2 linked regions of the Lytechinus pictus genome follow. The protein of the gene in region 1 purifies or fractionates together with the protein of each later gene. This does not show direct contact. Links are inferred from orthologs where the notes say so. Each region holds a gene or a part of one and is shown in the gene's direction. Other genes may lie near its edges. The genes, in order: C-Jun-amino-terminal kinase-interacting protein 4-like and serine/threonine-protein kinase PLK1-like.

Evidence for each region.
Region 2: the proteins of C-Jun-amino-terminal kinase-interacting protein 4-like (region 1) and serine/threonine-protein kinase PLK1-like purify together in Homo sapiens (affinity purification with mass spectrometry; 7 studies listed by BioGRID and IntAct, counting the BioPlex papers as one, with this or other methods). This does not show direct contact. The link is inferred for Lytechinus pictus from reciprocal best matches to the Homo sapiens genes SPAG9 and PLK1.

Annotation. Positions count from the first base shown.
Region 1 is NW_026974140.1:2,998,238-3,015,293, reverse strand, and holds the start of C-Jun-amino-terminal kinase-interacting protein 4-like, read left to right. Parts: upstream 1-10,049; 5' UTR 10,050-10,089; coding exon 10,090-10,130; intron 10,131-11,208; coding exon 11,209-11,256; intron 11,257-16,469; coding exon 16,470-16,729; intron 16,730-17,056. UniProt on the Homo sapiens protein: The JNK-interacting protein (JIP) group of scaffold proteins selectively mediates JNK signaling by aggregating specific components of the MAPK cascade to form a functional JNK signaling module.
Region 2 is NC_087250.1:7,524,016-7,540,844, forward strand, and holds the start of serine/threonine-protein kinase PLK1-like, read left to right. Parts: upstream 1-10,066; 5' UTR 10,067-10,173; coding exon 10,174-10,278; intron 10,279-12,482; coding exon 12,483-12,590; intron 12,591-13,469; coding exon 13,470-13,586; intron 13,587-15,036; coding exon 15,037-15,254; intron 15,255-15,430; coding exon 15,431-15,526; intron 15,527-16,758; coding exon 16,759-16,829. UniProt on the Homo sapiens protein: Serine/threonine-protein kinase that performs several important functions throughout M phase of the cell cycle, including the regulation of centrosome maturation and spindle assembly, the removal of cohesins from chromosome arms, the inactivation of anaphase-promoting complex/cyclosome (APC/C) inhibitors, and the regulation of mitotic exit and cytokinesis.

The DNA of each region.
Region 1 (17,056 bases):
TCACCTCATGAAGTATTCTGTCCATTATTTGTATACTAGTTGACCTGACATGACCTAAGAAAGGGAGTGAGTAGCCACCTCTGAGGGGTTTATTTACAATGGATAAATGTGTCATTACACAAATTGATAAGGGGTGGTGTCAGTTTCATGTGGTAGTTGATTGATGGATTAAGAGCTCTCTACCAGTTGAGCTGTTTATCATAACCTGTCTACACCAAGCTGTACAATTACAACATGGAGCTATTTAAAGGACACTTGTCCACTCCAACAAAAAGTTGATTTGAATAAAAAGATAAAAATCCAACAAAGATAACACTGAAAATTTCATCAAAATCGGATGTAAAATAAGAAAGTTATGACATTTTAAAGTTTCCCTTAATTTCACAAAACAGTTATATGCACATACTGGTTGGTATGCAAATGAGTAGAGTGATGACGTCATCCACTCACTATTTCTTTTGTATTTTATTATATGAAATATTCTAATTTTCTCATTGCCAAGTGAAACAACGATTAATTCCTCCCTGAACATGTGGAATTAGCATTGTTTAATAATATATGGTTCAGTCAAGTCGGTCCTTATTGTCAAATTTGTAAAAAATGAAATATTGTATAATTCAAACAATAAAAAACAAAAGAAATAGTGAGTGAGGGACATCGACTATTGTCACTCAGTTGTGCATATCACTCTTTTGTGAAAAATAATCGAAATTTTGAAATGTCATAACTTTCTTATTTTACATCTGATTTTGATGAAATTTTCAGTGTTGTGCTAGTTTGATTTTTCTCTATCTATTCAAATCATCATTTTTCTGGGGTGGACTTGACCTTTAATAAACCTCTCTACTTGTACAGTATAAGCTTGGGAAATAATGATTAGACATAGGCTGCGTTTATGCGACCTCAAGCCAGAATCATGATTTGAATCATGATTTGAATCATGATTCAAAACACAAACATGAATCACAATATCACAGAATCAGCGTTTAGACGACCTTCATTCCAATGCTGTTTCTCCTCAGATTCGGGCCAATCCAGTGCGCATCACTAGTGCGCAGTTTGACAGAGGAAGTTTTTCGCACGTGTTTCGGCTCTCGAAAAATCTTTTGCTTCCAGAATTCAGTCTATACCTCATTTTGTTTACTTCTATCATATAGGGTCCATATGCTTCTATTCATCTTGTTAGTTTATCCAAAATGGTGTTCGGAAGTGAATTTCAGCGTAGATCCAATTTAGTATTGATACTGTATACTCAACAACTGAGATCATTGTCTGTCCAGTTAATTCATTTACTATAGAACTTGAAGTTGAAGACATGACCAATAAATGAAAAGTAGTGGACGATGCGATGACCAACACAGAGCTTGAACATGACAAGAAATGCATGCGTAGTACATATTCATGTACATACAGCGCATTGAGCTAGGCAAGAGTCAAACCGAAAGTAGCCCGACACAACAGTGAGGTCATAGAATCATGATTCAAATCACGATATCGTTTATTCGAACATTTTCGTACGTGATTCTGCAGAAACGTCTTTCCAAACGCCCCTTTTTTCGTGTTTCATGTTTGTGATTCTAATCATGATTATATTCAATTTCGACTAAACGCAATCGTGATTCTGCAGAATCATGATTTGAATCATGATTCAGATCATGATTCTAGGGTAAAAAAGTGGCGGATAAACGCACCCCATGTCACATGGAGCTTAGTAGGAAAGTGGTCTAATTATTTCCCAAAATGTACATGAAGGAAAAGGAAATCCATGGAGCTATTTTGAAACACTCCTATCTAGTGGCACAATAAGTCAATTTGAAGGGGCCAGACTTGGCCTTTCCGGAAAAGTTTTGATCTTTTTTTTTAGTAGACAAACCTAATTTTGTGATATATTTGACATACCGTTCTTTTATTTTTCTTTTCTTTCCTTTCCTCACTTTTTTCTTGGTCATGAATTTTCTTATCCTCTCACCCTACATGTATATATATGTACATTAAAATGAATTATGCATATCTGCAAAATTGGGTTATGAAGGCAGATTCTACCACAGTCAGATGTACATGTAGACCTACGTTATTTATTCATTGGAAACACAATTAGTCACATTAATTAGCCATAATCGAGAAAGTGGGAGAAAGAGCAACTCAGAGATTGAGAAGAAAAAATCACAATCAGGAGAAGATTTTGGTGTGCCATTGAGCTCTTATCTGTTTTATAAATTGTGTATGATATAACAAGGTTCATATTCTTTTCACTTTACTAGTTGACAGCTAACTTCACATCCTACAGCATGTAGGGCTTACATTCTAAATTGGCAAGTGCTGATCCTGTACGTAGCCTTCCGAGTCTGGTCTCATGTTTGGTATTGCTTTCTATTATTTTTTTTATATATTTTGATGGTGTCTTTAAAAAAATTTAGACAAAAAAAAAATTGGTTTAAAGTCAGTGCTTTGTGAACAAGCGTTATTATCTTTGAATTTGATGGTATTACGATAATTAACAAACAAACATTAGATATGGCTCTGGCCCCACCACTTTTATTTTGAACATTCTTTTTTTATTAAGGGATCACAACATGATTTTCTTAATTGAGTTGCAGTAACAGCTGAACATGTGATACAGTATGTACATGTAGAGGTATATGTCTGTAACTGCAATTATACAGATGATCATCATGTTATTTCCTCTTTGAACACATATGCGGTTATTTATGATGATGCTGAAAATAGATTACATCGGAAAGTACTTGTACGCTCAAATTAAAATGCACACACAACATCCATATGTAGAAACCATCCATTTGTATTGAGTTCCTCAAAACATATGCTGAAAGCATTGTGCACAGTCATACATCTAGCATGCTCATTGAGGTACTGCATACTCCGTCTCCTTCCTTTCTGAACTACCGTACTTGCTGTCTGCCTCTTCAGATATGTGCATTCTCCGTGCATTCGCAGAAATGCGCTTGCACTTGAATTTCAATGCTTGTATTCTGGGCATGTGCTGACTCAGGCAAGCTTGCTTTCCTGCAGTGGTCTTCATGTGTTTGATGACCAAACATTTCAGAGTCAAAAGCTGAGATACATCATGTACATGTACACCGTGTTTTGTATGAACATTTTAAGAGATTTGCATTTAAAGTGATCATGTTTAGGAATTGCTGTTCCTGTGATATCAATTCAATTCGACCTCGAAAATTAAATGCATGTTTCTAATATATTAAAAGGCCGATGGTTCACTATAAATCCCTATTGAAAATGCCTTAAGTACTGGTTCACTACTCCATATTGATTTAATGTCTAAAATGGTTCACTATAAAGCCATATGGATGTCTTTGTTAACGTTTTGCCTATTCACTGAAAACTCTTGGACAAACCATGTTGCAACTAAATAATTTTGATGTCATTTATAACAATGAGTGATGATAAACTATTCCACTCTACCAAATTATGAATTGGCTTTTTTTTTTAATTCAGAAAATAAAACATTCAGATTTTTTCTTTGATGTTGCATTAATTTTGATTTTGAAATGGACATTACCCTGCCATCAATAATCCAAATTTCCCCAAATAATGAGATGTCAGATCAAACAGTTTATGCATACACATACATGTATAGACATGTAAAACAGCATAGTAAATGATTAAAGGCCATGTTTTTGTATTCAAGAGAATTATTCTGGAAAAAAAGCTTAAAAAACAATTAATTGAAATTAAAGATTGTTTCATGAGAAGTTATTTTAAAAAAAGAAACCAGCATACACCTGTATACCTTAATACACATATACATTTTAATGGAGATTGCAATCAAGAGAAAGTCATGTTTCTGAGACTCTGACACCCCATGTACTGTACATGTAGTCTTCTCTTTTTATTTTCCCCCTTTTAATCATAGATATTGAGGATAAGTTCAAGATGTCTATGTAATCTTGTCTGATTGAGAAGCAAAAGAAAAAAGAACACTTTGATTGTTAGGAAGGTTAATTTCAAAGATATCCGGGAGGAGATTTGTCGATTTGATATAACAATAATTAGATACAATTGCAATGCAGCTTTTGATCATACGTATTTAATGACACATTATACACATTACCAAATATTAGTGCTTCCATTTTTTGCCAAATAGGTATTAAATTATTCAATGTCAATTTTTTAATGCTAGAATTGAATTACAAATTTGTTCTTGACTGATTTGTTTACCGCATCTTAGTAGCATAACTTTAGCTGTTAACTTGCCATTGATTACAAATTTATAAAATAGGCCACGTTGTTCGTTCCCTTTAAAGTGTGAGTCATGTACTTGTAGGAGACATTTCACAGACTGAAAACTTAATTTAGAAAGCATCTGGGCCCCTTAACACAAATGTAATGATCAATAGCAAAAAAGGTAATGACCAATCAAGATCCTTGTTACATTTGCATTTCATTGAAAAGACTGAGCTGTAACCAATCTAGAGTTGATATTTCAAATGTGCGATTGATTGCAAACCGTTGTGTTACAGGGCACTAATCTGAATCTCTCTGACCAGAAGAGGCAAGGGACTTGCTTTCTAATCAAAATTCTCTTTTATCTAGAGGGTGTTGACACTGGGGGTGCTTGAGTTGATGGGTACAATTGTTTTATCATATGAGCTCGAATTCAAATTGATTAAAGAGCCATCAGGAAGGCAAACTGATATTGTCTTTTCAAGGACCCATTGTCGAAAGAGTTTCATTTGAATGCAAAGAGAAAATGACTTGTGTATTATGCTTCTGTTTGGCTGAAAATCAAGTCCATTTGATTTTCAGAGTTGTGTTTGATTACAGGTCTTTCTGCAATACATTCTCAAATCTTATCAGTTGGATTCCTGAAGATGAGGGGGCGCTCTCTAAAATAAAAGTGTGTTTTCGCTTTATATTCTGTAATCATCTCGGTGATCACTTGTTTAAACAAGACCCTGGCCTGGGAGATCTAAGCACTCACTGAGGGTGGAAAAAATATTTGTGCTTAAAAACATGGATTCTTGCATTTATTTCTAGCTTGTATATCTTATTTAAAAAAAACAAATAAAAAAAAACGAATTAAATTCACTTTAGATTAGCTTTAAATTCATGCCTAAAAAATAGCTATTTTTGTCTCGCCTGCATAGCAGAGCGAGACTATAGGCGCCGCTTTTCCGACGGCGGGGGCGGCGTCAACATCAAATCTTCACCTAAGGTTAAGTTTTTGAAATGACATCATAACTTAGAAAGTATATGGACCTAGTTCATGAAACTTGGCCATAAGGACAATCAAGTATTACTGAACATCCTACCTGAGTTTCAGGTCACATGACCAAGGTCAAAGGTCATTTAGGGTCAATGAACTTAGACCATGTTGGGAGAATTATTTTCAAAATCTTAACCGAAGGTTAAGTTTTTGAAATGACATCATAACTTAGAAAGTATATGAACCTAGTTCATGAAACTTAAGCATAAGGTCAATCAAGTATTAGTGAACATCCTACCTGAGTTTCAGGTCACATGACCAAGGTCAAAGGTCATTTAGGGTCAATGAACTTTGGTCAAGTTGGGGGTATTTGTTGAATTACTATCATAACTTTGAAAATTTATGGATCTAGTTCATGAAACTTGGACATAAGGTTAATCAAGTATGAGTGAACATCCTTCCTGAGTTTCAGGTCACATGACCAAGGTCAAAGGTCATTTAGGGTCAATGAACTTTGGCCAAGTTGGGGGTATTTGTTGAATTACCATCATAACTTTGAAAATTTATGGATCTAGTTCATGAAACTTGGACATTAGGTTAATCAAGTATCACTGAACATCCTGTACAAGTTTCAGGTCACATGACCATGGTCAAAGGTCATTAAAGGTCGATGAACTTTGGCCATGTTGGGGGCATTTGTTAAATTACCATCCTAACTCTGAAAGTTTATGGATCTAGTTCATAAAACTTGGACATAAGAGTAATCAAGTATCACTGAACATCCCCTGTGAGTTTCAGGTCACAAAAACAAGGTCAAAGGTCAGTTAAGGTCAATAAACTTAGGCCATGTTGGGGGTATTTGTTAAATTACCATCCTAACTCTGAAAGTTTATGGATCTAGTTCATAAAACTTGGACATAAGAGTAATCAAGTATCACTGAACATCCTGTACAAGTTTCAGGTCACATGACCATGGTCAAAGGTCATTAAAGGTCGATGAACTTTGGCCATGTTGGGGGCATTTGTTGAATTACCATCCTAACTCTGAAAGTTTATAGATCTAGTTCATAAAACTTGGGATATAAGAGTAATCAAGTATCACTGAACATCCCCTGTGAGTTTCAGGTCACAAAAACAAGGTCAAAGGTCAGTTAAGGTCAATAAACTTAGGCCATGTTGGGGTAATTGTTGAATTGCCATCATAACTTTGAAAGTTTATGGATAGAGTGAATGAAATGTGGACATGGGTGTAGTTGACAAGTCTTAAGTCACCGTTCAAATGTCATTTATGGTCAATGAACGTGGTATTATGTCATTATATGAATGGTGTTTTTGTAAATGATTATTTTATTGTAGTTTTCAAAGTTAGCACTGCTGCTATATTAAATCGCGTAATGCAGGCGAGACTGCCAGAGGCGTTCCACTTGTTAATGTTATGAAGACCCAGAAATCTGACCCCAGCCCCCTATAGTTTTTTATTCCACATTTTGTTATATGCATACTACTTTTCAAAATCAATGTTTATAATGTTATATTTATCACTTACCAGTAATTTTCACTTCAATTCAGTTTGAATTCAATCCAATTATTAGTGAATCAAAATTGTTATTTTTAACTTTACAATTAGTAATGAATTTACATTGTCATTATACTATTTTAATCAAATTTTGATATTTATATTCCACAATTTTTGCACTCTAAATATTATTACATGTATAACTATTATTCAAAGATATGTTCATGTATTTCATTATAATTTTTTTATGTATTGATTCATGTTAATTTATATGTAAATTCATCTCAATTCAGCTTGGTCGCCATGATATATGTTTTTTATCAAATAAACCATTTATCTGTCTGTCTATCTAGCTATCTTATCTATCTATCTACATGTATCTATCTGTCTGTCTGTCTGTCTATATATCTTATCTATCTATCTATCTATCTATCTATTTCTATTGAATAGAATTTACTTATTAAAGCTTCTATCGCCCTCTCACAGTAAGGTGTTCATTTTTGTCTCGCCTGCATAGCAGAGCGAGACTATAGGCGCCGCTTTTCCGACGGCGGCGGCGGCGGCGGCGTCAACATCAAATCTTAACCTAAGGTTAAGTTTTTGAAATGACATCATAACTTAGAAAGTATATGGACCTAGTTCATGAAACTTGGACATAAGGTTAATCAAGTATTACTAAACATCCTGCCTGAGTTTCAGGTCACATGACCAAGGTCAAAGGTCATTTAGGGTCAATGAACTTTGACCATGTTGGGAGAATTATTTTCAAAATCTTAACCGAAGGTTAAGTTTTTGAAATGACATCATAACTTAGAAAGTATATGGACCTAGTTCATGTAACTTAGGCATAAGGTTAATCAAGTATTAGTGAACATCCTGCTCGAGTTTCAGGTCACGTGACCAAGGTCAAAGGTCATTTAGGGTCAATGAACTTTGGTCAAGTTGGGGGTATTTGTTGAATTACTATCATAACTTTGAAAATTTATGGATCTAGTTCATGAAACTTGGACATAAGGTTAATCAAGTATTAGCAAACATCATGTGCGAGTTTCAGGTCACATGACCATGGTCAATGGTCATTTAAGGTCAATGAACTTTGGCCGTGTTGGGGGTATTTGTTAAATTACCATCCTAACTCTGAAAGTTTACGGATTTAGTTCATAAAACTTGGACATAAGAGTAATCAAGTATCACTGAACATCCTGTACGAGTTTCAGGTCACATGACCATGGTCAAAGGTCATTAAAGGTCAATGAACTTTGGCCGTGTTGGGGGTATTTGTTAAATTACCATCCTAACTCTGAAAGTTTATGGATCTAGTTCATAAAACTTGGGATATAAGAGTAATCAAGTATCACTGAACATCCCCTGTGAGTTTCAGGTCACAAAACCAAGGTCAAAGGTCAGTTAAGGTCAATAAACTTAGGCCATGTTGGGGTAATTGTTGAATTGCCATCATAACTTTGAAAGTTTATAGATAGAGTGATTGAAATGTGGACATGGATGTAGTTGACAAGTCTTAAGTCACCGTTCAAATGTCATTTATGGTCAATGAACGTGGTATTATGTCATTATATGAATGGAGTTTTTGTGAATGATTATTTTATAGTAGTTTTCAAAGTTAGCACTGCTGCTATATTAAATCGCGTAATGCAGGCGAGACTGCCAGAGGCGTTCCACTTGTTTCTTTGAAAAGGGACTTTTGAGCATGTATCTATAAATGAATTAGCGACTGGATTTAGTATGCCACAAAGAAATTTATTGTGAAATTTTCAGCTCATTCCATATCGAAATGTTACGATATGTAAATATATATTTTTTTAAAGAAAATTATATGTATAGTTTGATTTGAATTGAAATGTTGCCCTGTAGTTCTAGGAAGTCTGGGATTTTATTGAAGATTTCAAACCCCTGACACTGTCAAGTTGGTTTTTGTAGTTACTTAAAGGAGAATGAAACCCTTGAAACCAGCTGAATCCATATCAAAGAGAAAAATCAAAGAAACATATTGTTGAAAGTTTGATGAAGATTGAATGAATAATAAGAAAGTTATGAGCATTTGAATATTGAGATCACTAATGCCATGTAGTTCCTCCCATTGGCAATGCGACCAAGATCTGTGATGTCACACACGTACAACTCCCTCATTACTTTAGTACTTATTTCACTTACATTCTCACTTTTATAGTCTATCACAAGGCGAGGTGTTCTCTTTATGAGAGGACAAGTACAGAGGTTTCACAACATTATATCATTGATGAATCGTTTGTCATATGATTAGAATGAGCAAAAAGAGATGTTTTGGGGTATATTTTCAGTGTCCAAAAGGGGAGAGTTGTTCATCTGTGACATCATAGATCTTGGTCGCATTGCCAATGGGAGGATCTCCATAGCATTAGTGATCTCGACATTCAAATGCTCATAACTCTTCTATTGCTAGTCCTATTTTACTCAAACTTTTGTTGATCTTATTCTTTTATTTTTCTGCTTTCACAAAAGCTAACTTGCTCCAAGAGTTTCATTCTCCTTTAATATGTAGGGCGTCAGTGCAAGAGACAACTAACAGCCACAAATCACAAATATTATGCTTCCGAAATCTCTTGATAGTGATTCCGCACAGGAATCCCCATTGGGGAATCCCATGTGCCACAAGCAGCAAAAGCCCTTTTTAAAAAGTTGGTGGCAGTTGCATGATACCTGTATATTCAATATGTATTTAATAAAATGGTTAGTAGTTTTAATTTTGAAATGTTTATTCAGGCATTGATGATTTTGTCATTTGGTATGCCATGGTAACATTTATATAATTTTTAGAAGATATTGTGCAAGTGTTTTTGAACCCAAAGCACAGATTCTTCATTTTTAGCAATGAAATATGATATTTACCACTCTTGAATGAAGAAATGCATATTCATTAGGAACTCATGAATATGTATTGTGCTTGCTCGTTGGGCCAGTTGTGCAGTGGGTACATGTGCATGCGTGCGTGCTCTCAGTGTAGTGTATGTATACACACGTTATTCTCTGTCATCTCACTCTCTCTCCCATCTGTCTTTCTTTCTCTCTCTCTCCCTTTCTTCTTCTCTATTACATGTATAAATGAAATCTTTATTTTAATGAACAAAATTAATTGTATTAACTGAACAAGAAATGCTTTACCTTAATCTTATCATGTTACCCTTTTCAGAGTTTTTATTTGAAAGAGACTTACTGTGGTCATCAAATTCACTGTACAATGCATGTTGTCATGGTTTTTTCACGGTCTTCTTTTTGCATTCTCCCCTTAATTTTTGTAGATGGCTTTACCAATTTCATTCACTATCTTTCAAACTGTCTCTTTTCTATTCAGGTTGTTCAGAAGTACTTGGAGTATGTTGACCGGGTCAAGATGATGGGACAGGTTGATACTACCACACAACAAAGGTTCAGGTAGGGGATTTCCCTTTATAATCTGATACCACCATCCCCCCCCCCCCCCCACCCTTCTACAAAATTGCATAAAATATACTATATATCAAGAAATGCTGCTGTGAAATGTGAAATGATATTATTTGGGATCTTTGGTTAAAATGTAAAGGCACTGTTCACGTACACCATGGATCTATTACACTCACACGCCAACTCAGATTTTTTTTTTTTGAGGGGGGGAGCTAGTATTTTCAACTCAAGCTCTGCAAGTAAATGAGCAGTTTTAAATCAAGTTGATCAATGTTTTGGCCTTATTTCTTTGTCATAGTGGTAAGAATTGTTTGGCAACTTGAACACAATCCTGTTCATGGAGACATGCTCATTTTCTATAAAAAAAAGGAAAAAGAAAAAAAGGGGATGTTTTACGAAGATTTAAGTGTGACTAAAATTCATGCTTAAGTGCCACAGGACACGTATTTTACATATAGACTTCTTCATTATTACACAGAAGCAAACATCCTCCAAGCATTGTTTGACCATTATGCATTATATACCACACACAACTGGGTATTTGAATTTAGTTGCTTTTAATACTGCTGAAGTTTGTTAAATGCCCCTTCAGATCTCTTCTGCAACACATAAATGAAATTGAAATTCATATTTATCAAAGGGATGATGGTACAATTGTGGTGCTTTTTCTATGGTCTACATGTATATTAGTTTATAGACCTTATAATCATACTTTGGTACTTCTGTTTGACACCTCTATAAAAAGCTTGTCGTTCTTTCCAATCTATCCAGTACTATTTCTCATGTGTACTGTAGGTATCTGTTGGAATGGATAATTTATACTCCTGCTATGCAAGATTTTGTTTTTATATTATCATTTATTCATAAGGGATGATAATCATATGACATTGTGATGAGTACCTTTTCAGATATTTTCTTTGTATTTTATTCAAGGGATGAATCTTAATAAGTAAAATTGATGTAAGATATAAAAAATCCATTTATGATATCTTGGTTTGAATAAAAAAAAATTATCAGAAATCATAGCACATCAATGAATTGGCCCCAAAATAAATCCTCTTTGATGCAGAATGAATCACGAGCTTGGATCTCCGACTTATTCAAGGGGGGATGATGAGTATGAGAAACAGATCATTTCCTTTGTAATCATTACTGATATCTTACAATATCATACTCACATATAAATATGCATACATGTACCTTTGACTTGAGAGTATTAAATGCATGTTTTCTTTTGTTGAACTAACCATCAGTATTATATGATATGTAGCTTGGAAAGGCACATTTGGTTCATCTAACTTTAAGAGCATGGTTGGTTTTTAGTGCACAAGTGCATATTTTATTTTTGTAAATATATATCTATATTTGGATAAAAAATGTACTCCTTTATATATTCTTTAAGTTTAACAATAGTTTAATAGTCAGTATATTCTGCCTATCTCTTCATACACTAAAATGGACTAAAATAGAATGAATTATTTAGTGATTATTTGGCATCCACCCCCAAAATGATAGTAATAAATGAATACATAAATGGGTAAATGAAATTTAATTTAAAAAATAATCAATAAGTAAATAGATGAATGCATAAATAAATAAATGAATAATTAAATGAATGAATAAATAAATGAATAAATAAATAAAATAATAAATGAATAAATAGATCACAATTTAAAGAATGTATAATGCTTTAAACGCATTATGGAGTTATGGTTACAATATGTAAAATGTTCATTTCTTGATTAATTTATAAGGTGGCATTGAAAAGATGTTGGTTGATAGCCTTTGTATGTTGTGTTATTCATTGAATGATGCATTCTCAAACAATTAAAAGAAACTTGCTTTCAATTGCAAGTCAAATACCATGTCCTGACACAACATAAATTTCCTACAAAGTGACTGATGTATCAAACTCTAAAATCATTCACAGTGTCATTGTCAAAATGACATACATTCAATACACCAGCCTTATATTGTAATGGCTTAGATCTTTATAAAACAAAAGCCTAAAAGTGCAGTTGATTGCAGATTTTATCCTCTCAAATGAGCTGATATTGTGTGGTTAGGTGAAAGAAGCCGAGGCATCATTTTTCAAACCACAATAAACAAGTGAAATACAAAATTCAGATATAATGACAGATAATTGCATTGTAAGCAATTACTTTCAATTATGAAGGCGTATGGAAAGAGACATTCTAAATTCTAAGCCAACATATTACAATCCTTATTTCCTAATAATTTAACAATGATTATTTTATATACAAACAGTGATTTGAGCCTGGAAGTGTTTCAACAGTGAAAATTGTTTAATGATCTTGTTGACTTACATAGTTTTAGTTGATTTTTGTCAAATAAAACAAGTATAGTATATATACATGTACATGTAGTAGCACAAATATTATTTCCACAACATGACTTGGCTTTTTCTCCCTTCAAGAAATTTCATCTGAAATTTAAATCAAGTTTAATGCTAGAAATGTATCTATACATCACCCTCTTCCAGTTGGGTGGTTGGGATACATGTACATGTATATTGTACACCTATTGTAACAAAACTATCCTTGGTGTATATTTATATTTATTGTACACAAGTAACAGATTGACTTTAAAATAACATGTATGAGCGATTGCATTTGTTTTTATTCCTTTTCCTTCCTTAATTCCAACCAACATGTTTTTCTATTTGTTTTATATACAGATATCTTCCCATTTTCTAGATCTTCATTGTAGATGAGAGAGAAATGTAGAAAAGAATGTTTGTGTATAGTGTATTCACTGCCTGCTTGCATTATTAACTCCTCATCATTATGGCCACTACAAAGGCTAAGTTGGACTTGATTGTACTTTTAATATTCATCTGATTAGGGTTCCAGCCTTTTTTTGCTCAATTACATCTTGATTTTGATGATTGTAATGAGTGTTCATTTGACAAATATCATTTAAATATTGTGCTTTTGTTTTATTTGAAAACTAATCTGATTAATTAAAATTAATTAAATCAATTTATCAAAATTAATTGATCTGTCAGAATGATATATTTTAAAATGGTGGTTACCCTTCGTACAATTTTATCTAATGTTATTATTCAGAAAAATGAAAAATAATTTTTAGTATTGAATATGTTTGTTTTAACGAATGGATATTTGCTTTATTGCTTGGAAAAGTCTGGAACTCCTATTTGTTTAACATGGTTCTGTTTTGTTCTACCATTCATATCTAAGCCATATACCAAAATTTTATGGATAAAAAGAAAAAAACAGCCCAGTTGCAATATTCAAATCTGATCCTGAAGTATGTTATCTTAAATTTCACTATTATTAAACTGGCTTCTCATGCCTAATGGAAAGAAATACATCTTTTTCATTTCCTTTATTATCAGTCCCCCTATTTTTTTGGACTTAGTTACCGTACATTTAGGATGAAAAGAGGTGGAAAAACAACATGACAAAAATATGCAGATATATGGCTTAGATATACACTTTTTATCATTGACACTGTGCATGCACATTGCATTTTGAAATTTTATATTGCATGGATTCCTTCCCTACTCACACCTTCAACCCACCCTCGAAATCCTATCCATTACTTATATTTGCATGGGGGCATCTTTCATAATTTCATAATTTCTTTTCCAGGTTTTTTTTTCATTCTCATTGTCATCCTGAGGGCTATTAAACTTTTAAATAGTTTGAGTAGTCTGGTTTTATTAATAAAACAGTCTTACTTCTCCCATATTTTCAGCATTTTCATTTTATCCTTTGTTTGGGACTTTGGGAGTATTATTTATTTACAATCAAAACTGCCATCAAGTGACTCCAGCTTATTGAGGATTTGTGTATTGCATCATGGGAAAATAAATTATTAGTTGTGGTGCAGCTGTAAAATAATCTGATTCCCGCTTCATAAAGACTTGTTATAGTAACAAATGCAGATTTGCTATAACAAATTTTACTATCAGCCAATCAGACAGATGGATTTCAGTAGCTTTTAGCTCTTATTGCAAATTTGTTATTATAACAAGTTTTATGAAGTGGGTCCCTGAAGTCACTTGAATTAGAATAATATAATTCTATCAAAATTTTGAAGAGTTGATTTTGATTACTTATCATTGCAAAATTTTTGTTCAGATTCCAAAATATCAATCACAGCATTTATTATTCTATACTCGACACTCTTGGGTCATTAGGCATCACAAAACATGTTAGTTCAAATCTCTGTTGCACCTTTTCTTGGATTTGTACAAATGGCAATGGGAAACTCACAAAAAAAGTGCATTTGAGATTGGCATTTCCATGAAAATTTGGTTTCTGTAAACACAAATATGCAATTGTTTCATTAACGATTTCTGTATTTCCACCATAAATTTTGTGCAATGCAGGCTCTTTTAACTTCTTAGCCATTAACATGGATCAATACGAAATGTTAGCTTATAAATATAAATGAACAAAAGTAGAAAAATAGCCCTAATTTTTCCTCAACTTTCTCCCTATGTACTGCATTTCAGATATATGTTATCTTCATTTCATCTGAGAAGCACAAATGCACCCATGTTGACCTAACTGGCAATGTTTTAGTAATTTTTATCATTTTTTGTGATTTTACTATATTATTTTGATAGAAGCTTTGTACTAGCTAGCTTAAAATTGGCCTTTCACATGCTGGCAGTTGGGGGCGCAATTGATTGTAAATTAATCATACTGGAGCTTTTGTACCTCTCATCTCTTGGATGACAGAAGGGTGCTTATAAGGATTTTAGTGGATATAATTAAATTGGCTTCCAACAGATGATGTTTAAAAATAAATCAGTTATTATATTGATCATTCATATGCAGTTCACCTTTGAAATACTTTGCAAACCTACATGTAAATGTTAAGTCACCATCTATAAGGGTGGAGGAGTGACAAGTTTTTTTTCAAATGTTAAATTCAGTTTTGACTGGGGTTGATTCAGCGCATTGATGGTTGAATTTGGCACAATAAAGTTTTATCTCACAACAAGAAAGTTGTTAATCTGACATTTGAAAATTTAGTCATTCCTCGGCAATTATAGTATAAGAATTTTTTCTTAGCACTTTCTTTGCACCTAATTCCTGGTATTTCAGTTTTATTCACACAATTTAGTTTAATTTCACATGTGTACTTGCCGGTGATTAATCAATCATATTTGCTTAATAATTTTTGAAGTCAACATTTTTGCTATCATTTCTTTTATAGCTTTTATTTGATTCCTTAAATCATACCTTCCAAATTCATTTTATACAGTATTCTTTTAGACTTTGAATGGAAAAAAGACCCAGCCCCTGAAAAAGTACCCAAAGAATTTACATTATATTGTCGCCTTCCCGCAGAAAGGCCGTTAACGTATTTTGGCGCCAAAAAAAAAAAATTGAATTTTGTTATATTGCTGAAATGGAAAAAGCATGTCCCGAACTTTCTTCTGGTACCATTCTCGAACCTGAATGTGATGTCATTATGACATAATAAGCAAAAACATTCCCACTTGCTTTAGCATATAGACGCATTCTTAGTCTGGGAACAAGACGCTTCTCGTTCAACGTGCGTGTGCGCATAGACCGATTCGGGCTAGCGGCCTTCCTGCGGTCACTGGATCAGCGGATTGCACATTTTTCTTCCCGGAAAAAGGGTGTAAGGTATTCCTTCTTAAGATTAGAAAGCGTAGATTAGAGTGTTTTAAATAAAACAAACAAAATATCAATGAAGAAAACATCTTTGTCAGAAAGTATGAGAATTAGGACAGAAAATAATACACTAGCTGCTTAAAGCACAAAAATAAGGTCAAAACATAATTTGCGTTTTCTTAAAAATGTACTTGCACGTTAACGGCCTTTCTGCGGGAAGGCGACGATATGGTTTATACTGTTTATGCAACAATAAAAAATATGCACTTTGCCTGTTATAATAAAATAACTTACTTTTTATTATTCTCATTCATAGTTTCTCTTTCTTTAACAAGTTTGTCAGCCTAAATACCCTTCAAGTTTGATCTAAGTTAATCCCACCAAGGGGGAAATGAAAAAGAAAGGGGATGTAATGTAATAAAGAGACTTATTTTTACCTTCAAGTATCATGATTTTACCCAAAAATGAAAAATCTTTGATTGGACAGATGTGATAAAATCCAATAAATCTTTAGCTGTGATCTTTCATTCTTAAATACACAGTTGTGTAGAATAAGTGTATCTAGAGATGTAAACAAGCAAAGCCCATATCTGCAAGAATGTACAGATAATAATTCCCGTTACTTTCCAGATTACATGTATGTAAGGCATACTTCTGTTGTAACTTTGCTCACTCTTATCCATTCCCATAGGATAAACATTCAGAAACACCAATTGGTTGGTGGATTCGACGATGACCAGCTGACACCTACCAAGGAGAGGATAATGTCCGATGACCTGTCATCGCCGACCACCACTCCTTCTAATGCTCTCAACAAGTTCAATGATAAATCTAATGAAAAGAACCTAGAGAAGGAACTGACGGAGACGATGACATCACCTATCGCTGCTGGAACAGGGTCCTCCACCACAGAAACACAGGCTACAGTCCCTACTATGAATGCAGAGACAGGTATTATTACACTTTATTAAAATTATATCTGCATGCAAGCAGGGTCAAATTTAATATTTTCTGCATGGGGGATATTATTTCTTCACATCCCTCATTTTGTGAACTTGCAAAAAATTGGGGAAAAAAAATTTTTTTCTTCATTTTTTTAGTTTTTGAAGTTTTGGACATCTTTGACCATCACCTTCAACTTCACAAAGTTCCATACCTTAAGAAGGCTTCATTTTGTTACTATTGCAGTTCATGAAAATGACTTGCAATTATTTCCTTATCAATGAGTGGCAGCTTTCTGTCATCCAATATGTTTTGAAATGAGGGACATTATGGTAA
Region 2 (16,829 bases), on another chromosome or scaffold:
AATGTGACATCCGAATTCTGTTTTCGACAACTTCAGACTATAAGGGAACCAGAACTGTGTTATTTTGCCCGTTTTTTATTGAATTGTGAACTGGAAAGATCGATTTTGTCCACTCGACAGTCTTCGTTGTGTTGCTCTACTAACTATTGAAAAACTCCAAGCTGCACGGTCCCATTCACTTGCTCCCGATGCATGTTGCAGGCTACGCTGTTTGATCCAGTCAAAAGTCAAGGTAAGCATGTTTGGAAACTGTACTTGTTCTGACGATGCATTCAGGTCAGATGACAGATACAGATCTGATATAAGTTTAGAATCATGCATTTTGGCATAACTACTATTAAAATTAAAAAGTTTTTATTTTAGAAATAATGTTTTTGCACAATTCCACCCAAGGGCACTCTAGGCGACACCCCAATACTTACCCGTGCTAATAAACTGGGACTCCACTCACGCGCATTTGGGCCGCCCTAGCTTAGAACTAAGCAATATTATCTAGAAATTGTTACATTGTAGTCATTAAATATGTTCTATTAAATAAATTGATAATGTTTAATCGGTACTCACCGGTTCTTTTGTTGCATTTTCAGACCATTTCTCACAATTCTTCGTAAATATTTGCGGCAAATTTTGTCGCCATAGACAGCTTAGCATCCATCTTTATTGATAAATGGAGCGCCCTTTACGATAGTTGTTAATGCCGCGGAGAAATCGTTAGGCATTTTGGCCTGTGTTCAAGGCGTTCTTTCTGTTTTATTTTTTATATTGAAGATTGTGCATTTGTTGAATAGCGCCGTCTACGTCAGGTATGAGATCGAGTGTATAAATACACTCTTCCAAAATAATTATGATTCCGACCTGGCGCTGTTTAACTTCAATCTCTTTCACCTAAATTAGCGATGAATGCTAGCATTATAAAATATATATTATTAACGTCTGACGAAAAGAATAACCAACCGATCAGCTGACGAGAACGCGAATCACGTGATCTTCATATCAGCTTCGATCGAGAGTCAGAAGAGAAGAGCAGCTGCCCAGAAAATCAGGAAAAAGCCCTGAAAATGTAAGTTCCCCTTCATTTCTTTAATTTTTTGTTGTTGCTAACGATGCATTTACACTATAAAATTATAATTTAAATAAGAGAAAGGAATATAGCTTGTACTTGTGATATAATATATAAATATCCTGTTCTCAGAGATTTCTAACCAAAAATACTACTGATGTCGCCTATGAGGTCCATACATGTAATGTTGGACCTCATTGGTACTAGGAGTGCCCAAGGGTTCATTACATGCCGCCACGCACAGAAAAATCAAGCCATAGAAGTCGTGTGTTGTGGACCCAAGAAGTGAGATCCCAGACGCCTCCAGGCTAAGCACGCGCGACCCACTAGTTAGAAATCCACTGACAAACGCGGTTCGTGGTGCGAGGTTAGTATACTTAATACGTGTGAGTGGCACAATTCCAGCAGATTTTTTCTTCAGATTTCTAAAACTGGTCAGGACTCAGGCAGGCGATTAAATTATTTAGGAGCACTGAGTGGTATGGACCATGGCTGAAAATCTGCTGTTTCAGAGGAATGTTTAAGTTTTTATTATACACAGAATTATATCACCATGATGCCGATGTCATGAAGCCAGACAAATTTTCAGCAGTGATTACCCTGATTCCTGGCCAAAATCACTCACACGTATTGCGAGGTTAGTATTAGTATACTACTAGTACGTATTGCGAGGTTAGTATTAGTATACTAACCACGAACCGCGTTTGGCAGTGGATTTCTAACTAGTGGGTCGCGCGTGCTGGGATCTCACTTCTTGGGTCCACGACTTCTATGGCTTGAATTTTCTGTGCGCGGCGGCATGTTAATGAACCCTTGGGTGGGCCAAAATTAGAGTCTGGTGTTTCTTTCTGATTAGAGTGTTGCTGCATATATGTATGCGTAATGCCTTCAACAATGAAGATAAATGCAATCTTTGTAATGACACAGATAGAGACTCAGAGAGCACCGTACCTCAAGTGATGTTCGTGTAGTCTCCACTTCACTACTGGAGTACTGCTACAGCCTACACTACGCTACACACCTACCCGGGTAGGTGTGGCGTACATGTACGGTAGTGTAGCGGTAGTGAAGTGGAGTGGGGCCTACACAAACATCACTTGAGGTAGAGCACCGGTGTTCTGAGTGGAACTTTTCAGGTGTCTAAACCTACTATCATTTGTTGTTGACCGGGAATTACATGCCACCGCACGTCATCAATCATCACGATAATTAAATTCATACTTTAATTTGATTATTTAAACTATTTCTTTTTTTCTCTCTTCTACACACAGATCTGCACACTTGCTGACTCTGGTGACTTATGGTCTCTGCTTGCTACCTCAATCTGGGAGATTCCATCATGTCCTTTTACTATGATTTGGGTATAGCCATTTTTTTCTTCACTCTTTCCAGGACCTACGGTTTGCAAGTTGTGGACTGATAATGATACAAAAGAAATTTTTTCTTTATCAATCTTGGAAACAACTTTGAGCACAGTTTTGGAGAGAACTAAGAAATTTGACTTGGACAAGAATACAGCTTGTCAAAAATAATAACACACAATTTAAACGAAAGAACAATTTTAATGTTACTAGGGCATTTTGCGAGAAATGTTATACTCAATCACACGTCCCAAATCAAGGGTAAGTCCTTTGATTAAACATGTAGTTGAAGTGCGATTGCAACTCGACCTTATTACGCTTGCGGTATTTTATAGATGGCAAATATAGCGATCTTCAACGCTTATATATAAGCGTCGAAATTTGTAGCCATCTCCTTGTATTAGTCTATAATATACGACGTGTCAAATTGTAGCGAACTAGTTCGCTATTTCCAGATCTCCTCTATATATATATACGAGGGGGAATTGTAGCGAACTAGTTCGCTATTTTCTAGATCTCCTCTATATACAAACGACGAGAAATTGTAGCGAACTAGTTCGCTATTTTTCGGAACTCCTCGATATATACACGAGGGGGGATTGTAGCGAACTAGTTCGCTATTTTCCAGATCTCCTCTAGATACATACTACGGGATTTGTAGCGAACTAGTTCGCTATTTTTCGGATTTCCTCTATATATATATATACGACGGGAAATTGTAGCGAACTAGTTCGCTATTTTCCAGATCTCCTCTATATATATATACGACGGGAAATTGTAGCGAACTAGTTCGCTATTTTTCGGATCTCTTCTTTTGTAGCGAACTAGTTCGCTATTTTTCGGATCTCCTCTATATACGACGGAAAATTGTAGCGAACTAGTTCGCTATTTTTCGGATCTCCTCGATATATACACGAGGGGGAATTGTAGCGAACTAGTTCGCTATTTTCCAGATCTCCTCTAGATACATACTACGGGATTTGTTCGCTATTTTTCAAATTTCCTCTATATATATACGACGGGAAATTGTAGCGAACTAGTTCGCTATTTCCAGATATCCTCTATATATATATACGAGGGGGAATTGTAGCGAACTAGTTCGCTATTTTCTAGATCTCCTCTATATACGACGGAAAATTGTAGCGAACTAGTTCGCTATTTTTCGGATCTCCTCGATATATACACGAGGGGGAATTGTAGCGAACTAGTTCGCTATTTTCCAGATCTCCTCTAGATACATACTACGGGATTTGTTCGCTATTTTTCAAATTTCCTCTATATATATACGACGGGAAATTGTAGCGAACTAGTTCGCTATTTCCAGATATCCTCTATATATATATACGAGGGGGAATTGTAGCGAACTAGTTCGCTATTTTCTAGATCTCCTCTATATACAAACGACGGGAAATTGTAGCGAACTAGTTCGCTATTTTTCGGATCTCCTCGATATATACACGAGGGGGAATTGTAGCGAACTAGTTCGCTATTTTCCAGATCTCCTCTAGATACATACTACGGGATTTGTAGCGAACTAGTTCGCTATTTTTCGGATTTCCTCTATATATATATATACGACGGGAAATTGTAGCGAACTAGTTCGCTATTTTCCAGATCTCCTCTATATATATATACGACGGGAAATTGTAGCGAACTAGTTCGCTATTTTTCGGATCTCTTCTTTTGTAGCGAACTAGTTCGCTATTTTTCGGATCTCCTCTATATACGACGGAAAATTGTAGCGAACTAGTTCGCTATTTTTCGGATCTCCTCGATATATACACGAGGGGGAATTGTAGCGAACTAGTTCGCTATTTTCCAGATCTCCTCTAGATACATACTACGGGATTTGTTCGCTATTTTTCAAATTTCCTCTATATATATACGACGGGAAATTGTAGCGAACTAGTTCGCTATTTCCAGATATCCTCTATATATATATACGAGGGGGAATTGTAGCGAACTAGTTCGCTATTTTCTAGATCTCCTCTATATACGACGGAAAATTGTAGCGAACTAGTTCGCTATTTTTCGGATCTCCTCGATATATACACGAGGGGGAATTGTAGCGAACTAGTTCGCTATTTTCCAGATCTCCTCTAGATACATACTACGGGATTTGTTCGCTATTTTTCAAATTTCCTCTATATATATACGACGGGAAATTGTAGCGAACTAGTTCGCTATTTCCAGATATCCTCTATATATATATACGAGGGGGAATTGTAGCGAACTAGTTCGCTATTTTCTAGATCTCCTCTATATACAAACGACGGGAAATTGTAGCGAACTAGTTCGCTATTTTTCGGATCTCCTCGATATATACACGAGGGGGAATTGTAGCGAACTAGTTCGCTATTTTCTAGATCTCCTCTATATACAAACGACGGGAAATTGTAGCGAACTAGTTCGCTATTTTTCGGATCTCCTCGATATATACACGAGGGGGAATTGTAGCGAACTAGTTCGCTATTTTCCAGATCTCCTTTAGATACATATACTACGGGATTTGTAGCGAACTAGTTCGCTATTTTTCGGATTTCCTCTATATATATATATACGACGGGAAATTGTAGCGAACTAGTTCGCTATTTTCCAGATCTCCTCTATATACGACGGGAAATTGTAGCGAACTAGTTCGCTATTTTTCGGATCTCTTCTTTTGTAGCGAACTAGTTCGCTATTTTTCGGATCTCCTCTTTATATATACGACGGAAAATTGTAGCGAACTAGTTCGCTATTTTTCGGATCTTCTTTATAAAATTTTATACACGAGGAGGAATTGTAGTGAACTAGTTCGCTATTTTTCTAATCTTTATATATACAAGAGACGGAATTGTAGCGAACTAGTTCGCTACAATTCCCCCTCGTGTATATAATTTTATAGAGGAGATCCGAAAAGTAGCGAACTAGTTCGCTATTTTTCTGATCTTTATATATACAAGAGACGGAATTGTAGCGAACGAGTTCGCTACAATTCCCCCTCGTGTATATAATTTTATAGAGGAGATCCGAAAAGTAGCGAACTAGTTCGCTACAAAGCCCGTCGTATGGATATAGAGGAGATCTGGAAAATAGCGAACTAGTCTGCTACAATTTGACAATATGGCATCAATATATACAGCCAAAACCTGCAGATTTTCACTTTGAAGCCTTCACAATAATGTAAGCTTTGGAAAAAATGACAACTAGTTCGCTACAATTTCCCCCTCGTGTATATGAAGAGATCAGAAAAATTGCCATCTAGTTCGCTACAGTTTGCCATGTTTATATTTTAGAGAGGAGATGAGAAATGGCGAACAAGTTTGCAACAATTTCCTGTCGTATACATGTAGAGGAGATCCGAAAAATAGCGAACTACATGTAGTTTGCTACAATTCCCCCCTGGTGTATATATAGAGGAGATCCAAAAAAATAGCGAACTAGTTCGCTACAATGCCCCCTCATATATAGTTCGCTACAAATCCCGTCGTATGTATATAGAGGAGATCTGGAAAAATAAAAAAATAGCGAACTAGTTCGCTACAATTCCCCCTCGTGTACATATCGAGGAGATCCGAAAAATAGCGAACTAGTTCGCTACAAATCCCGTAGTATGTATATAGAGGAGATCTGGAAAATAGCGAACTAGTTCGCTACAATTCCCCTCGTGTATATATCGAGGAGATCCGAAAAATAGCGAACTAGTTCGCTACAATTTCCCGTCGTTTGTATATAGAGGAGATCTGGAAAATAGCGAACTAGTTCGCTACAATTCCCCCTCGTATATATATATATATATATATAGAGGAGATCTGGAAATAGCGAACTAGTTCGCTACAATTTGACACGTCGTATATTATAGACTAATACAAGGAGATGGCTACAAATTTCGACGCTTATATATAAGCGTTGAAGATCGCTATATTTGCCATCTTATTATTTCCCTTACGCTTGAATTTGAATTTAAGACTTACGCTTGATTTGCAATTGAACATAAGTTTCTTGCAGTGCCCCATAATTATGTTTTGTTATCAGATATTTAACGTGCTGATTTTTCTCGAAAGGTATAATATATTTGTCCTTTTAAACGGTATTTGAATATGGGTACGCCTTTTATTTGTTTTCCACAATATTTATTGCATGTATGAACAGAAGTGAAATATTTATTGTGAAGCACTGTGAATGTTGTGTGATGGTTCATCATTTTTGTTATAAGACTGAAAGCCTGGTGGATGTGAGGAAGTGGCCTGGATGAAAGAAAAGTGAACATGTGTCCAATTACTGATTTGCATATTCTAAGACAATTTTGTTTCTGGATAAATTTTGCTATGCATTCCCTACATTAAGAGTAAAGGAGAAGTCCACGCAATCAAAAATTCATTTGAATTTAAAGAAAAATAACAAGATATTGCAGGAAATTTCATAAAAACTTTGATTCAAATTTATATAATTACTATTTTAACAGTTCCGTAAATATAACCTATTGTGATCAGATGAAGAGTTTCTATCGTCAAATCTGCAAAGAATAAAAAACAAAATGCCACAAAAATAGAAACGAATGTGATGTGAGTGACAACTCTAATTTGCATATCATTGTTTTGTGTATATGACTGTTTTGAGTAAAAACAACAAGGGAAATTACTCTATTCAAATAATTTTTAGTTGATGTGGACTTGACTTTTAACTCTACCCCTCCCATCCCAAATAAGAGTAGAAATAATCTAATCAAGAACTTGAAAATCAAAAGCAGCAATTAAGAAGCAAGATATGATAAATACAGGTCTGAATAGAATTTCACAAGAAAATAAAAAGAGAAAAAAAAAATGGGTAGGGACAGGGAAGGAATAAAAAAAAAATACCCAGAAAAAAAAAACGAGTTTCGAACCAGGGTCCTCGCACATGACAAAACAATGGCCAACGCATTTGGCCACAGACCATCTCCCTAACAGGAAGGCATTTTTAAGATATATAAAAGAAAGTCCGCTCGCCGCTGTTTCCTAATAATGCTTCGGCAATTCAACTGCAATTTCAGTCATTTCGCGATGGATATTGCCGTGTTTTTTTTTGTGGTTCCTGACTTTGCTACTTAATGAAATTTCATAATTTTTGTTCAGTCATAAAGAAGAATGTCTATGCTTTATATTGACTATAACATTAATGTGACGCAAGTGTGATTTCTACGTGAAAATATGCTTTGTTTATTCACATATATTTCTTGAAAAAAAAAAAAATTCTAAGCTAAATATCGGTTACCAAAATACGTTAAATGTGCACTTTTTTTCACTGTTCAGTAAATTCAAACTTTTATCTATATAACAAGACCAATCTTAAGAGGAATAAACAATTCTAAGAGCAAAAAACGCTGATTGGAAAGATCGTCTCCAATGGGCTGCTGTCAGCTCAGCTGCACACTGCTCATTGTGTGACGTCACTCAGCTGGAGCTCGCAAGAGGACCGGTGGAAGGCAGAAATATGGCATGAAAATAAATCATTTTTGAGAGCTGATTTCTGCAATCTCTGATCACTATTTTGAAAAGTGAAGTTATATATCTGATTAGTAATACTTCCCCTTTACAATGATGACCACATAAAGTCATTATAAAATACTTTTGATTCTTTGGATGTATACTTTAAGAAAATGGGAATGTTGGGAGGAGTTTAGGGAGAGCTAAATGTGCCAAAAACAAAAACAAAATGAAAATAAATGAATAAAATAAATTAATTAATTAAAAGTATAAAATGAATAAATGATAAATAAGTTAAAAATAAAATAAGAATAAATAACGTGTGTATAAATTATATAATAACGATAATGAATAAAGTATTTTTTCAATGAATGCTTAGGCATGAGAGTATTTTTCATTAATATATATATGTACATATATATTTTTTTTTTCATTCTTACCATTCAGAGAAGGAAAACGTTTTTTCCGCCCCCACACGAGTAGAACGGGAAGGTTGTGACGACGAAGGGCATGGGAGGGGGGTTATGGGGAGGGGTAGAGGGTAGGGCCTGAGGCTGATGTTGTTATAGGATATGAAATATATGAGGAATGAGGCCAAGGTGTGGGGAGGGGGGTTATGGAAAATCCTTGTTAATGGCTTTAATTCGACTAGGTTGTATTAATGATTGGTTTTGTGTATTTGGAAAATCTGTTACGTTGTGAATATTTTGACACAAGAAAAAAAATCGAGTACGTTGAGTTTTATTAGGTTTTATTGTAACACTAAAGGAAAAAAGAGAAAATTTAAAGTGTATATGAGTTTACAATGTATTCATATATTAATTTGTAAAGATATATTGTATTTGATGTATGTATTTTATTTTGTATATGACATGTATGAATTGAAGTTGTTGACAAATAAAAACTTCTTAATACAAAAAAAAAACCACCACTCGAATAAGAAGACTGTCGTTATATTGTAAATATCATCCGCTAACGTAGAACTAGAAAACAAAATCGGTTAGCTCTAGTGCAACGAGCCACGAGTCTGATAGTGATACACAAAAAATTGTATCTTCGGCGACGTGCATGAAATATGTTTTTATTACGACTGGTACCGAAGTCTATAGTCTGACCATTGATTGATTGGTTGAGCGTGAGCGCGCGCGTCACAGTATGGGTCAAAAAGTTGTTTTTCTTCGCTAGATAATCGTCCATTCGTCCTGTTGTCCAATTCAGAATTCCTTGGAGAATCTTTCATTTGCAGTTGTGTGATATTAAAATTAGGAAACTGAATATGGTGATAGCGAACCTGTGAAGATCGTTTCAATTACCATCTTGCGAATAACGTCCTTTAGTGTGTATAGTCCGTACGTACATGCACAGGATATACGTCCTTAACCGACCAATCAGAGAATGGCTAACGTGCTGTCTTTAACGGGACGTTAGCGAGCCGTCTGTGTACGAGGAGAAATAAAAAAAATAAAAAAAGTTAAAAAACTCCTCGAAACAGACGGCTGCCAGCTGTCTATAGGATACACTGCCATACTGACACTACTGATTACTGTGTCTGTACATGTCCATCTACGATACACACAGAGACACTGCACTCACGCACTGCCACTGGCATCCAATCCTACTCCACAACCACACACTACGACTACGTCAGACTCTGACCGCGCTGACATTTACTACTCTTCTTGGGGGCAACAGAACAAGGAGAACATCAGAATACCTGATACTCATATTATTCAATGTCATACATGTTTCATACCTTCACTCCAAGCTTTATTTCTCGGGTCAAAAGACAATTTCTGTCGCCGTCGCGGCTCCGCAAGCATCGCCATCTTGTCGGTGCACGTGGATCAACTAAAAATATGTAAATAAATCTAGCTTCTTTATCAGACTGTCTGAATAATAGAAAAATAATTATTATTTGTTTTTTTAATTGTTTTTTATTATAAATGGTATCAAATAAGAACAGATATATTTATCAATCGTAATTATGAAATTCCTTTATACTTTACAAAGAAATATACATAAATAAATATTTAGAAAATGACCCTAAATGCCTTGTACCATATTTAAATTTATGAACAACTCGGTTTAAATGTCCGTACCTTCGTCCAATCAGAGCAGAGTATTTGCGAAAGCGGAGATCTTCATCGGCCAATGAACGACCACTATTCATTGAATACCGGCCCGCTGTTTTTAAATGCACAAAAGATCGTCAGAAACAGGCGATCGCAGCTGACTTGATCGACGCATTGAAATTGTCTGCAGTTTTTTGGACAAATTTTGAAATATTTTGGCTTAAAATATTAAGATGGCGTCAAGACATAAGGAAGATCTCAGAGTAAAGGAAGTTCCTGATGTTGTTACAGATCCATCAACTGGAAAAACATACACAAAAGGAAGATTTTTGGGCAAGGTAACTCGTGAGCTTTTTTTTTTTCATTTTCAGTTAGTGTTGAGTCGTGTTGCCTGTTGAGCTGTGTGTGTGTGAATAGTAAAGTGACCTGCAGCTGCACTGCACTGTGCACAGCCACAGTGCCAGTGGAGTGTGAGGTTTTGCGTCATTTGAATGGAGTCAGGAAATTGTGTTGAAATTTAATGGATTATCAAAATAGTGGAGGTATCAGTTAAAAGAGAAGAAAGAGAGGGGGCACATATCTGCGTACCGCAAGGTTAAACGAAATAAAAAGTTAGTTAACCCGAGTGAAATGAGGCAAAAATTAACATTTATTTTAGAAAACTCCACAAAAATTTTGGTTGATATACTTTTTTAAACCAGGCCAAGACAAGTTTATAATTAAACTTGTTACTGTTAGGGGGATTGGAATTTGGAACAACTCAACCTCGCCTCCGCCTCCAAAACGGGGCTGAGCTGGATCTCATTCTCAGTTTCTCACCTGTTTCGTGAAGACGTGATTTTTTTCTTCATAATTTTGTGTTCATTTATCTTCATTACGATATTTCTTGAAAGTTGAAACAATTGTTCAAGCAAGGAATCAGCCGGATCATCCGCCCGGATGGTACTGTAATTCTTTCTATCTTGACTAACTTTGTTAGAATGTTCAGTATTAGAAGGTCTGTTTTCATTGAAATAACAAAACAAGATCTAGAAATAGAATCATACTGTTTTTTTGCAAAAAAATATTAGAATTGGAACAAATTATGATTTTCTTGCAAAAAAATGTGGAAAGTCATTTTCAGATTAAACTAAAAAAAAAAGTGATCAATGCCCAAATATGAGACCATGATCATGACTTATACATCACACTACATAATTAGCATGTTAGATTTCGATCAATTAAGATTTTATTCACTCTATCGACCCCCTCTCGGGTACTATGAGGTATGACTATGAGAGTACAGCATATGGATATTATGGGTCAATTCATATCAAATCAACAAATTTTCAGACAATTTGTCACCCGACCCCCTCCGATCTTCAAACTTGTGCCAGGAGTAGCTGCTCCTCTGTGACTTATTCCATCACAAAATTGAAACTTTAAATAAAAAATTGTAAAGAATGCTTTGGTTGATTTTCATGAAAGCCTCACCAATATTTCTTTTTTTCAAATGATTGTCAGGGTGAACTTCCCTTTTTAAAAGTGATCTACATCACATGTATCTAACAAGACAAACAACCCACCTGGCCACTTCCATTAACTAGTGGATTTTATAGGCAAAAAACTTCTCTTTTGTAACTCATGTCATCAGTCGTTCAGCTGATATTTTCAAAATAAATCCCCTGTCCATAGCCCAAGTACAACACATTAAACAACACATACCTAAATGTTCTTTTATAGTTATACATTTTGGCTTACAATAGTTACATGTAATTTGCCGAAATTCCCCCCACCGCATGCGGAGTAGGCCTTGGAATTATAGGTCTTTAGAACCACAGGTCCATGGTGGAACATAAGGGGGGGGGGATATTTTACAACTGTTGAGTTCCTAGATTTATATTTCTCCCTCATTGTCAATGTGGGCCACAGTGTAAAGATGTTAACTTGCCCAATGCCCCAATCCATACCCTACTAAAAATACCCCAAAAAAAATAATAGATGTGTTCTGAGGAAAATCCATCAAAGATTAAGAAAGTCATTATATTTTTTTTTTATTTGTGACATATGATCTCAGCTGCCCCAATACAAAATACATAAATTTCAATTTTTTTAACGGTTCATGATGACTTCAACTTCTTTTTTTTTTTTTTCTTTCAGAAGCAGGTGTTAAATGATTTGTATGTTGATATACTAAAGGACTCTAATCAGGGGTGTGAGAGTTCAGATTTTTATCTGATTTTAGATTTTTTTTTTTTTTTTTGATTTTCAGCTTAATTTCAGCTTATTTTTTGCCTTCCTCTGTACAAAAAGTATGGGAGCTCTTTCTATTTCAGACTTTTTCAATACTCTTCAGCTTTTTTCAGATCTTTTTATTTGTGACCACTCACACCCCTGTCTAATTTAAACCATTTTCAATTCTTTTAAGAAAATGACATTTCATTGATTTTTTTTACTACAAGATGTACATGTACAGTGTAGGCTAAGATAGCTGTTACCCCTTTCAAATGCACCTGTGGCTGTACTGAGCCATTACATTATTTTTTTCTTTGTGTCTATACAGGGTGGTTTCGCTAAGTGTTATGAGCTGACTGATGATGCCTCCAAACAGATCTACGCTGGCAAGGTCGTCTCGAAAGCCCTTCTTGTCAAACCTCACCAAAAAGACAAGGTACTATATATCATGTTACACTTTTTTTTTACACAGGGATTACCGGTAAATGCTGATTCTTGCTGAAGTAGCTTTTTTTTTTTTTTTTTGGATTTTGTGTTTATTGAATCGACAATATTTTTGAAATGTACATAAAATTGAATACAATTCGACACAAACAACCATGGAAAAAATAGGGGAAAAAAAGGAAAAAGAAAAAATGCTATATGGTTAGCAGGTTATTCCCTTCAAATTTGGTAGCAAGTCATTCCCTGGTTTGTATAAACTTCATGTTATTTGTCAGATTCAGATATAACTTAGCATTTATACCTAATATACTGTCTTTATTTCTCTTTCAAAAAAAAGAGAGAAATAATAGACAGCATTTAGGAATTTGGGGGTAAAATTGGAGTTGCATGTACCTGTACTGTATTTAACACTGACTATGGTATGTGTGCATTCCTGCACCCTGTATACAGCAGGGCCCCGTCTTACAAAGAGTTACGATTGATCTAATCAATCGTAACTCTATGGAAATCCATCAGTGTCATAATTTTTTCTACAGGAAAGGTGCACAATGTCCTTTGTAAACAAAGAGAAGCATAATGAATTTTCAAGACAACGATGAATCAGAATGCATGAATATACATCATAGTAAGAAAATATTCTGAACAAACATGCATTATAGACGTTGACATTGCTGGCAGTCCATAATTGTGATCGATCGGATCAATCGCAATTTGTATTAAAGACGGAGCCCAGCCCAGGAATGCTACACTCCTTTCCAGAAAATGATTATAGAATAGCATTTAAAACAAATGGTAGGGTGACAGTACAATTGGATACAGTAATCAATTCTTCAAATCTTCTCCATTATGACCAAATTGTTTACTATTGCAGATGACGATGGAGATCCACATTCACAAGAGCCTCCACCACCGTCACATCGTAGGCTTTCATAGCTTCTTTGAAGACAAGGACAACGTTTATGTGTTACTGGAGTTGTGCAGGAGGAGGGTAAGTGAATGTGTCTTGTAAATATATATACAATGACTTAATTAAAGGAGAATGAAACCCTTGAAACCAGCTGAATCCATATCAAAGAGAAAAATCAAAGAAACATATTGTTGAAAGTTTGAGGAAGATTGAATGAATAATAAGAAAGTTATGAGCATTTGAATATTGAGATCACTAATGCCATGTAGTTCCTCCCATTGGCAATGCGACCAAGATCTGTGATGTCACACACGTACAACTCCCTCATTACTTTAGTACTTATTTCACTTATATTCTCACTTTTATAGAGTCTATCACAAGGTGATGTGTTCTCTTTATGAGAGGACAAGTACAGAGGTTTCACAACATTATATCATTGATGAATCGTTTGTCATATGATTAGAATGAGCAAAAAGAGATGTTTTGGGGTATATTTTCAGTGTCCAAAAGGGGAGAGTTGTTCATCTGTGACATCATAGATCTTGGTCGCATTGCCAATGGGAGGATCTCCATAGCATTAGTGATCTCGGCATTCAAATGCTCATAACTCTTCTATTGCTAGTTCTATTTTACTCAAACTTTTATTGATCTTATTCTTTGATTTTTCTGCTTTCACAAAAGTTAACTTGCTCCAAGAGTTTCATTCTCCTTTAAGTTATGATATCATTCACACTTTTTCTGCAATGTGTCCCTGTACAACATGACAGACTTCAAACCATGATACATATAAAGCCATGACACAGCTTACATGTATGTTGTTAAAGGACAAGTCCACCCATCCAAAAGTTGATTTGAATAAAAAGAGAATCCAACAAGCATATCACTAAAAAAATCATCAAAATCAGACGTAAAATAAGAAAGTTATGACATTTTACTTAAATCTTTGTGAAACACCCCCCTGGTTTATTAAGTCTCTTAGTTTGCTTATTTTCACAAAACAATTATATGCACATCCTGGTCGGTATGCAAATTGGCAGACTGATGATGTCACCCACTCACTATTTCTTTTGTATTTTATTATAAGAAATATGAAATATTCTAATTTTCTTCTTGTCAAGTGAAACAAAGTTTTATTTCTCCCTGAACACATGAAATTACCATTATTTTAACAGTTTATGGTTAAGTTGTTCCTTATTGTCAAATCTGTAAAAAATTGAAATATTGTATTCAAACAATAAAAGAAATAAATAAATAGTGAGTGATGGACATCATCGACTCTCTCATTTGCATATCGCTTAGTTGTGCATTTAACTGTTTTGTGAAAAAATAAGCGAAACTTAAAAATGTCAGCTTTCTTATTTTACATCCGATTTCGATGAAATTTGCTGTGTTATGTTAGTTAGATTTTTCTCTATTTATTCAAATCAACATCTTTCTGGGGTGGACTTGACCTTTAAAGAGAGCTCAAAACAACTAATGTCCGTCGCTGTCGTTATTGGCTGATTCTCTTCATTTACTTTCTCTCCAACAGTCGCTAATGGAGCTTCACAAAAGACGGAAGGCGATCACTGAGCCAGAGACTCGTTACTTCATGCGGCAGTGCATCCTGGCCTGTCAGTATCTGTCCAAGACGAAGGTGATCCACCGTGACCTCAAGCTTGGTAACCTCTTCCTCGATGACAACATGGAGATCAAGGTCGGCGACTTTGGCCTTGCTACCAAGGTCGACTTCAGCGGAGAGCGCAAGAAGTAAGTCCTGCGGAGGAGACGTGTGATTTTACAATGATAGGTCATTTATTTGTCTATTGTATTTGTGATTTAGGTATGATAAGGCATCAATAATTCTTGGTTTTCATTTTTTTTTTCTGGGACACTCTGTATAATGATTGTAACTTTTGATTTTTGTTTGATTTTTTTTTCTTCAGGACGTTATGTGGCACTCCCAACTATATTGCCCCGGAAGTGCTATCCAAGAAAGGTCACAGCTACGAGGTTGACCTATGGTCACTAGGGTGTATCATGTAAGTCTTTTTAAAATATTCCTTCTCAGGGTAAATTGCCAACTTGTCCACTCACCAGATGGCCTACCTTCGTTTAATCTAAAGCCATTACGTCCAACAGCCATTTGGTCCAATTATCACTTTGTCTAATTAGACCAAGTGGTATATGGACTAAATGGCTATTTGACCAACTGGTTATCAGACGAAACAGTGAGTGGATGAAATGGCAATTAGACCATGTGGTCAGTGGACGAAGTGATGGTAGACCAAATGATAGTAGACGAGTTGGCAATTGGACGAATTGGCATTAGACCAAATGAAAATAAACCCTTCTGAGATGGTCATTGGTTTGTGCAGGTCCTATATATTTACAGATGAAAACAGGTGTAAAGCCATTTCGTTAATTGGTCAGACTTGGAATTATAGGCAAAATGGAAACTTCTTGTGTACAATTGCTCATTCAACTTGTAGAAATATTTTTAGACATTGATAATTTTATTTTCAACTTAGATAAGGTTTTTGCATGTACATGTAACCACAAAACAAAAGTTATCTAGCCAATCAGTCTGTTTCAGTATAAAAGACCAATTATTTTGGTCTTTTGTGGCCCAAGCGTTGTGGCCCAGTGGATTAGTCTTTTGACTTTGAAACAGAGGATCGTGGGTTCGAATCCCAGCCATGGCATAATTTCCTTCAGCAAGAAATTAATCCACATTGTGCTGCACTCGACCCAGGTGAGGTGAATGGGTACCCGACTACCCGGCAGGATTAATTCCTTGAATGCACTGAGTGCTGAAAGGCAGCTCGAGCTAAAGCCGGGGTAATAATGATAATAACAATGCGCCTTGGAATATATTTTTTCTAATCTAGATAGATGGCGCTGTATAAATGCCTGTTATTATTATTATATTGATAATTTTTTTCAGTTTTCTGATTGTTGCTTCTAAGGCAAGTAAGATTTTTTTTTTTCTTTCTTTCTTTCTTTTTTTAACCATAATTCTTTTCCTTTGCCTATTACATATACTTGCTCTGTCTTTATTCAATAGGGACAGTCCCTATTTTCGGGAAAGAAGTCAATCAATTTTCATCCATAATACCCCTATTTTTGTGAAAGTTAATTTCCATAGGGTTTTTTAGAAAATTTAACCAATGTCTCTATGTATTAGTCTAGTTTTTTTTTTTTTTTTTTTTTTTTTTGGCTGTAATCCTTTGTCCTTCTTTATGGACTTGCACTGTTTTGATCTGTCCTCCAGGTACACATTATTGGTTGGGAAACCCCCTTTTGAGACCCAGAGCTTGAAAGACACTTATCAACGAATCAAGA